Nothobranchius furzeri: one gene and its partner. The protein of the gene in region 2 purifies or fractionates together with the protein of the main gene of each other region. This does not show direct contact. Links are inferred from orthologs where the notes say so. Each region holds a gene or a part of one and is shown on either strand. Other genes may lie near its edges.

Region 1 (4,306 bases), on a different chromosome or scaffold from region 2:
GACTGAAGGATCTCAAAAAGCAACATAACCTGCCCTGTTTTAAAGAAAATATAACACAAAACAGCATCTAAAACACTACAGGCCTGGCTTGGTTAAGGTCAAAATTCATAATTCAACATAAGAAAAAGCTGAAAAAAAAATTGCATTATGAGAGTTCAAATGAAGGCAACTGGACTTCTTTGGTTTCTTGAAGATGTTTCGCTTCTCATCCGATGAACTTTGTCAATTCTAACTGGACTTTCGGAGAGTCAAGCTTATAACCCAACAGACATACCATATGTAGGCCCCCCTTGGATTGGTGCTGTCTTTATGGTGTCTAAAGCTTAGGGCACACCGGAGACAGACGCGCCACATCGCGGCTGCGCTATCATTTTAAATGGAGGCCATTATAGAAGAGGATAGGAAAAATGGTTAAGGGAGCTTCGAATCCTTCTTTCAGTAGGAAAGAACAACCATGAATCTTGCCATGTGGTAAATAGCAGCTACACGGGGGGGGGGGGGGGGGGGGGGGACGTCCGATTTGTAATTGTAATTACAAATTTTTACAAACTCATACGTTTCAAAATTTGACAGGTGTGATCGAAACACACATCTTTACTTTTCATTTAAATTGAAGTGCAACATGTGTGCAATTCAGGGCGTCAGGCAAAGCAGATTAAAAAATAGCTTTTTTAGCCCCATTGACTGAAAATGGAGATTAGTGGTGCGTTCCAGTTGTCGTCAGAACTCGTTTTTCTGAGGTAAGTTAACCGGAAATGACGCATTAAACTCAGAATTCTGAGCTGCGAGCTGGTAGGTTTCAGAGGACCCAAGATCACAAATTTTAAGATGTCCAGTGCTACCAGGAAGTAGTTTTCAGCTTTATTTTTTTCTCATTTATATGTTCTGTTTTTTTTTTTTACAGAACCGAGTAGTTGTTTATTGTTGTTATCAATTGTTATGTCGTTAAAAATTTCAACATTTCTGCCTAAATTGACCGGTGTCACTTTTCCTGGCGTTTCTACATCTTATTTGTAATGTTTTTCAGGTTGTATGTGGCAACTGTCGATGGGGGTGTGTGTCACTATTATTTAGGTGCACAGAATACTTGGTAAGTTCTTTTGTTGAAGTTCTTTTAGTACTCAACAACACTGGTGGTGTCCATTATTTTGTGTTGGAAGCCTGAATGCACGCTGTTACACTCCCCAGAGCCCAATGGGTCATCTAAGTATTCATGTTTATAGTTCCAAGGCCAGAACCTCAGCAGATTAAAAAAAGAACACAACTAAGACCCATCTCACATTTGCCAAAGGCATCATGATCTCCCGGGCTTTTGGCAAAATATTTTGTGGACTGACCAAATGAAATTCAAACTTTATGGAAGGTGTGCAACCCATTAAATCTGGTGTAAAATTAAATGTCAGTGAAAGAGCATCATGGTCAACCATGGTGGTGGTAGTGTGATGTTTAGGGCTTCGCTGCTTCAGCACCTGGACCACTTGCTGCAACGGATGCAAACATGAATTCTATCAGAAAATCTTGAAGGAGTTTGTAGCCTTTGACCTTAAAGCTGCATCAGCTGTTGTCACCAAAGGTGTTATCCCCAATTAAACAGTTTTCACATTAGCCTGGCCTGCCAGACTCATCCTCTGTTTAATTCTACACAGAGAACTTCCCATAAGGAAGCATGCGGCTGGCTGCAGGCTATTTTCACATAGAGCCAGACAATTTCCCCCCACCTTGATGAATTAAATCAGATACTGAAATTAGCAGAGTCTGAAACATCTAAATTTGACCCCAAAAGCAAAGACTGTAGAAATCTGTAAAGAGGTAAATACTTTTTCCCAGCCCCACACATCGTCTATCAAATTAGTCAAAGTAAATCCAGTTTTATTTAGTAACAGGATTGCTGTAAACGTGAGTAAAACTTACAGCACAACAACACACAAGAATAACATCCAAAGCAGCGATTCTGAGCCAAAATATTCACGCTTCATATTGAAGAATGTATATTTTTCATGTTTCCAATGTGCAGGTTGTTTTTACTGCGCCCTGAGGTACAAAGGTTGTGGTTCTTAATGAAAAGTCACGTAATGTCAACCTAAAATGTAGATTTATAAAACACAATCGCTTTGATTGCCATCGCTTTCTCATCAGTAGGCTTCCATACTTTTGTTTATTTGATAGACCAAATTATATCCCTTAGCCAATCAACACTAAATGCCCCCCCCCCCCCCCCCCCCCATGTTTGCAAGAAGTCTTGACAATACATCCCTCCAAAGAGCAACAGGCACAGAGTGTTCAGGAAATATCTGACACATAGTTTGTTGCAGTCTTGCCAAGATCCGAGTACAAGAGGAAGTGAGGATGCCAATATTACTGCAGCTTAAGAGTGGTTGTTTTGCAGTTAATTCTAGCTTTGCATCCTCAGTTAAATGCCCTGTAGCAGGAAATCTTGAGTTTTATTTAGAGATCTCAATAACATATTTGAAATGATGAAGAACTTGCAGCCATCGCTGCTGGTATGGGGTTCATGTCAAATAACATCCTAATTCGCTTGTAAGGAGGACATCATGTGGATGGTATTAAATGAAAGCATCGTGAGGAAAGGCCGCTGTGTTGCAGGTTTTGTAAAGCTAACATCGCCTGCCGTGTCACGTTGTCTCTGATCATCTCGTGAGGATGTAACGGATCAGGATACCCACCGCTTTCCATCTCGCTGCCCTTTCTTGCCGTGGGCGCGTTGCCCATGATGACAACCTGTCAACAGGCAATCCGCGGCGTTCCGGCCGCCCTGCAGCCTCCTCAAGTCGGTCAAATCTCGATCTGGACGGTGTTTTCCTGAATCCAGCAGCAGCACGGAGCGTTCACTCCGAGGTCTTGCTCTTTAGTAGCCTGACAGCTGCTAATGCGGCGCCACGTTAGATAAGCGGGTTCGCTCCCTCCCACGGTCACCCGCAGCCGCTGGCCAGCATCGGATTTAAATCCACGTTGAGCTGGGGCTTCGCCGGAGCTTCAGGGTTGAGCTCGGAGGCAGCTGGCCTGGACACGGAGGATACAGTCTCCACCTGACCCTCCTTGCAGCCCCCGCCGAACGGAGCTCCCCTCCCCGGCTCTCCACCACCTCTCCCAGCCTATAAAAACAACAATACCAGCGGAGAGGGAGCAATGTTCTCAATCGAAAGCGTCTCGCTTGTTGTCAATAAAACCAGCTTAGCAAAATTTTAGCCTCAGCGGGGTCCGACAACGACAGGTATTCACCCAAATCAACATCGGGCCCCCGTAGCCTCGGAGACCAGCGAGATGACGGAACTACAGCGGAGCGAACGTCCCGCCTACTTGCTTAAACCAGCGTTGAATGACAGCTCGTGCTTACGTCGATGATTGGCCACTTTATCAGAGCGGTGACCAACAGTTTACTGTGATTGGCCAACTGCAGCCGTCAATCAACAACAGCAGCTTCCCACCGCCCAACACAACGCGAATGAGGGCAACGTCACAGAATATTTTCCTCCCGACAACGACTCCGCCCACTTTTTGTGATCCGGCCCTTCTATTGGCTAGATACGGACGGACCGTGGGAATCTCAGCGAACACGAGGACGCCCATTGGCTGTCACCAGTGATTGACATAAATACCCTCCTCCTCTACTTCGCTCTTTCCCGCTGCTGAGCGACTGTTACACGTTTGGCTGAGTGACGTCAACCGTGAGTCTATTTTTAGAAATGTTGGTCAGAATTTAACGCACGCGCGGCGCAGTGTGGCAGCAAAGACATCTAAACATTTCGCAGGCTATTCTGTGAGAAATGAACACAAATAAACAAGATTTTAAAAACTGGTGTTTCATCTTCATCACCCCGCAGCAGCTGGACTAGAGAGCAGCGGACCAGGGGTCCTTTTATCATCAGCATCATCAAAAGCTCCGATTCGCAGATTTGCATTAGAATGCCCCTTTGATTTAACGTAAGCTTGTGTTGGTAGGAAAAAATAAATCAAATCTATAAATAGATCTCATAGCATCCTCATCACTTTGACTCTGAAGCCACATTTTTTACAGCACAACCAATTAACCAGCTATATTCTTTTCCACATTTGATCTCAGGTGCTGTAAAACCATGCCAAATGACTGTCAACGTTAGGCAAAAGTGGCAGCTCTTCAAATTAAATAAAGATGCAACAAGCAGATGTTTGGCAATATTTACCAGATCGATTTGCAGCTGATCAGCTTATTTTTAGCTCTTAAACCCTGCTGCATGTTTACATAATGCTGCATTCGGAGTGCATCCAATTCTGATTGCTGCTGTTTCGGTTGTTTTAAACAGGGCAG
Region 2 (4,417 bases):
AGAGGCGGGAATTTCGTTGCCTTGTGGCAAACGACTCTCTGTAGTAGCGATCTCCGAAGCACATACCCAGCAGCTCCTTTCTCACGGTTTTATTCCACAGGCCGTAGATGAGTGGGTGACACATGGCGCTGCACAAAGATAGCCACGCCACCAGAGTCTCCAGTCCCTGAGACACGCTGCCCTGACCCCACAGAGCCTCCGTACACACCACCCCGACATAAGGCCCCCACGTCACGAGGAAGGTACCGATCACCACCAAGATGGTGACTAAGGCCTTACATTGACTTCCCGCGTAGACGAGGCTCCGCCGGCTTCCGTTAGAGGAGGTCGATGTGCTTGAGTTCTTGCGCCCATTTCTTTGACCTCCTGTTGAGTCATCCTGGGTCACAATAACCGTCCCACAGTGTACTTTGCGGGCTTTCATGCGAGCCACACGGAAAATGACTCCATAACAGATCAGCATGATGAAGAATGGGGGAAGCATGCACCAAATTACCCAAAAGGCCGTGTAGCTGGGCTCTTTGGACCAAGACGCCACACACGTCCATTTAAAGCAGTCAAACTCAAAGGAGGACCAGCCAAACAGAGGAGGCAGACAGCCCAGCAAAGAGTGCAGCCACACGTAGACTATGACAACCACAGCCCGGTTCCCCGTGATCTTCATGGGGTAGATCATCGGGTAAAGCACGGCGTAGTACCTGCACAGATCAGACAGAATTAGTCAGCACAGTTCAGATTCTAACAGAGGCTGATGAGTGATGCTGAAAATAAAAGCTGTGTGTGTGTGTGTGTGTGTGTGTGGGGAATAATACTGCATTTTTTGCTAAAAGATGCAAACACAGCTAAGAGAAGGGAGCTTGGAAGGAGAACAAAAAGTTTCTGTGTAATCAGAAATCCCCAAAGGTGCCTAGGGTAATTAGGAAAACAGAGAACTGGGAGGCCTGCTGAAAACGTTTGCAGCAGTGTGGACAGTAGAAGCTTTGTGATTCCTGGGAACAACGAAATGATGCAGGGTTTACCTCAAGTTATTTACAACAGGAATTTCGGCAAATATTAGTCAGATAATTGATTGTTCCATTAAATAAAAGTCTATAAATCAAGATAAATAATGCCAAAATAACTTATAACTACAAATGTAAGTTGGGCCTCACCTGTCAATAGCAATAGCTCCGAGGGTGAGCATGCTGGCTGAGCTGATGAGCAGGTAGAGCAGAGCCGTGAAATTGCACCAAACCACCCCGAACACCCACTCTCTCTTCGCTGAGCTCACAGCCACAAACGGCAGCACCAGAACCGACAGCAGCAGGTTGGACAACGTCAGGCTGAAAACAAACTTGTTGCTGGGTGTGAGGAGGTACGGCCTCCGGTAAAGGGTCACCACAATCAGCAGGTTCCCCATAAAGGCCAGGAGAGTGATGGTCACGATGGACACGGACTCCAAGGCTGCCAGACCTTCGCCATTCCCCGCCGGAGTGCAGTTTCTGGTGGTGTTCATGGTGAGGGACTGGTCCACCGGACGGGTGACTCAAGAGTGGGAGACTGCAAAGGACAAACTCACCATCACGATCATGAAGAACCCACCAGAAAAATTGACTTTTTAACCATATTTTACCTCCTGAATGAGTCAAAAGTTCTAGAAAAAACATGGATATTTTATTAATTATAAAATTCATGATTTCTGAATTATATTTCTAAAATAAATACCACAGCAATTTCCTAATGATAACCAATTGTTTAGTGCTGTTTAATCCTATAAAACATATATTAGAGTTCACAAATTACTTTTTTGTTATTTACTAAAAGTTACAGAAATAGAAAAAAAAACATAAACATTTGTTCAGATTTAATTGTAATTTTTTTCTTTTTCTGTCAGTAGCCGAATTTGGGTCTAAGAAGACATTTAATTAGAAATAAAAATACATAAATATATAGAATCTGTTATTCACCCGAAAGTACATGCACAATACATTTAGTAATTATCAATAAAACTTACAGTTCAAGTAAAATGCACCAAAAGAACCCAAAAAGTCTTAATGCTAAAGCATAATTGTGTAGATTTAGATTTGAGATCTATAAAACTATATTTATTTATGCAGCTGCATTATTATAAATGTTTTGTTTTGTAAACGAACACATACTTGTCTGTATGGATCACAAACTTTGTTACATTTACAAACAAGGGACATAAACTCTTTTCAAACAGAAGGGTCTTTAATTTTGTCCATGAGGAGGATAAATCTCGTTCCTCAATAAAAAGCTTGAAATCCGAAGTTGTGCTCAGATTTCAGGCTATTAAATAAACAAATGTTAGCTTTGAACAACATCAGAACCATAAATTCTCCATAAACTAACTTTGTGTCTGGGAGTCAGGTACAAAAAGTTATTCTAACACAACTTTTAATCACAGCTAACAGCCGAAATGTTGTTGAATTAAGCAGAAATACTCGGTTCCGTTAACACGTTAGCTAAACATCCCGTTAGCCGAAAACTTTCCCCCATTGTCCTCCCTCGAACTCGTTTCTTTACCTGCTTTTGTTCGGCGCTTCGGCTCCACATTTCTCTCTTCTGCGAAGACAAAACGTCCATGTTACTTTTATGTTTCCACACTACGCTCTAGGAGGGGAGAGAATGGCAGAAAAAAGCACAAAGCTAGTGCTGAAAAGCAAATGTTTGGTATCGCTCATCCCTCTCCAACAGCCAGCTGTGGCTGCAATGGCGTCCTCCTCCACCTCCCACCTAAACTTCTATTCCCACTGTGTGCGTGGGTGGTCGTGGAGGGAAACTGCTCCGCTTTCATTTCTACATCTACTCATCTGACATCTTCAACGGGATTGCGTTGTTTAAGCCATAACGCATTTTGTAACCTCTCCGATGTATTTGTTTCTAAAAACCCTCATGTCTTTTTCATTCGGTTTCAAAAATGAAATGTAAAAGTAATTTGTTGTTTTGTTACCTAAACTGTTTGAATAAACATGAACATTCATGATGACCAAAACGAAATGACGCTCTGCAACAGTTCACAGACGCCTCGCTGCTGGAGCGGACCACACACGTAGAGATCATAGATTCGCGCAAAAATTCGTCATCATACGTCTTCCAATCAGAAATGAGGTGTTGTGCAGGAAAATGTTCCCATTTCCGGCAAAGGACCTGCAACCATAAGTGAGCTTCAGAATTACTAACATTACCATATTTTCAAATAACTGTGGAAGATAAACATATTTAAGCCCGCGAACGTTTGTCTTACAAAAAAGTTTTGAGGTGCATCTTTTGATTTCCTTCCTTTCCTGGATTGGAGATGGCACATATGTCCACTCTTTTATGACAGCTGCAGCCAAACTGGGTATTCATCTCAATATTGCTACATCAAAGGGTTTTCTCATATATATAAAACAAAAAAACTATCCTTTTGTCTAATCTTTAGAATCTTGTGATTTTTAAAGTTTTCATTTGTTTTTCACAGAGTATGACCCTGATGAAAGGCATTGAAGAAGCAAAGAAGCAGTCCAAACAAGGTTCTCTGCAGAAGTTTGAACTGTGTGTGTACAGGTCAGCTGGCAGACTTGACGGAGCCTGGGAAAAGATATATGTACGTATTTATGCAAATTGGTTTTTAATTTGTCAGAATATTTTGTTTGCTAATCCTTTCAATTGAGCTCATTAGGGACCAATCGCCAATCTCAGGAGACTATTAGGAGCAGCCAGAAATAACAAGCCTCCAAGGTATCTAAAGCTGTATAGGAACTTTTTTATGGAATTCAGACTTGTTAGTCCTTGCTGAAAATCCATTTCAGCCATGATTTAATATTAATAATCAGAACATAACAAGTGAAATAATGATTTAGGTCCCAATTGATTTAACAGATGAGACAAGTAAAATAAATTTGGTGCCACAATGTAAAAAATTATGCCAAGCATATACAAATCAAGTAAACAAATAGGAATTAAAGGCGTTCAAACACACATTTTAAGCTTTTATTTATTTAGGCATTCATAGTGTTTGCATTGTTTCATATTAAATGTTATTTTTCACGCCTGTTCTCATTCTTTTTTACTTAATGTAATGTATTACATGAACAGAAAAGGGGCAGAGCTTTCGAACAGTAAAAGAGGCAGCAAGTGTTTTCAGATCAGTTCCAGTCCAGTGGAAACTCTCATAAAGCCTTACTGACTGAGCTACTGACAGGCTCTGCAAAGAAATAAGTGTGAGTTCCAAACAAAGGAAAAGGAAAATGCAGTCTTAAATAAACCCCAGAAGATTACAAAGGAGTTTCCTAAAACTAAAACTCCAAAAGACAGAGAAGCTTTAAAAAGGCTTTCCAGATTATGGGTCCTCCAACAGTATGCCAAATAAATACATAAACAGGATTTGTGCATCAAATTACTTTTGTGGTAGTCAAATGATAAATGTGTACAG

The links.
Region 1: the proteins of gpr161b (region 2) and prkacab purify together in Homo sapiens (affinity purification with mass spectrometry; 3 studies listed by BioGRID and IntAct, counting the BioPlex papers as one, with this or other methods). This does not show direct contact. The link is inferred for Nothobranchius furzeri from reciprocal best matches to the Homo sapiens genes GPR161 and PRKACA.

Annotation. Positions count from the first base shown.
Region 1 is NC_091744.1:6,143,389-6,147,694, forward strand, and holds the start of prkacab (cAMP-dependent protein kinase catalytic subunit alpha), read right to left. Parts: upstream 2,955-4,306; 5' UTR 2,731-2,954; coding exon 2,685-2,730; intron 1-2,684.
Region 2 is NC_091754.1:25,585,843-25,590,259, reverse strand, and holds the start of gpr161b (G-protein coupled receptor 161), read right to left. Parts: upstream 3,044-4,417; 5' UTR 2,954-3,043; intron 2,566-2,953; 5' UTR 2,527-2,565; intron 1,540-2,526; 5' UTR 1,496-1,539; coding exon 1,152-1,495; intron 699-1,151; coding exon 1-698. UniProt on the Homo sapiens protein: Key negative regulator of Shh signaling, which promotes the processing of GLI3 into GLI3R during neural tube development.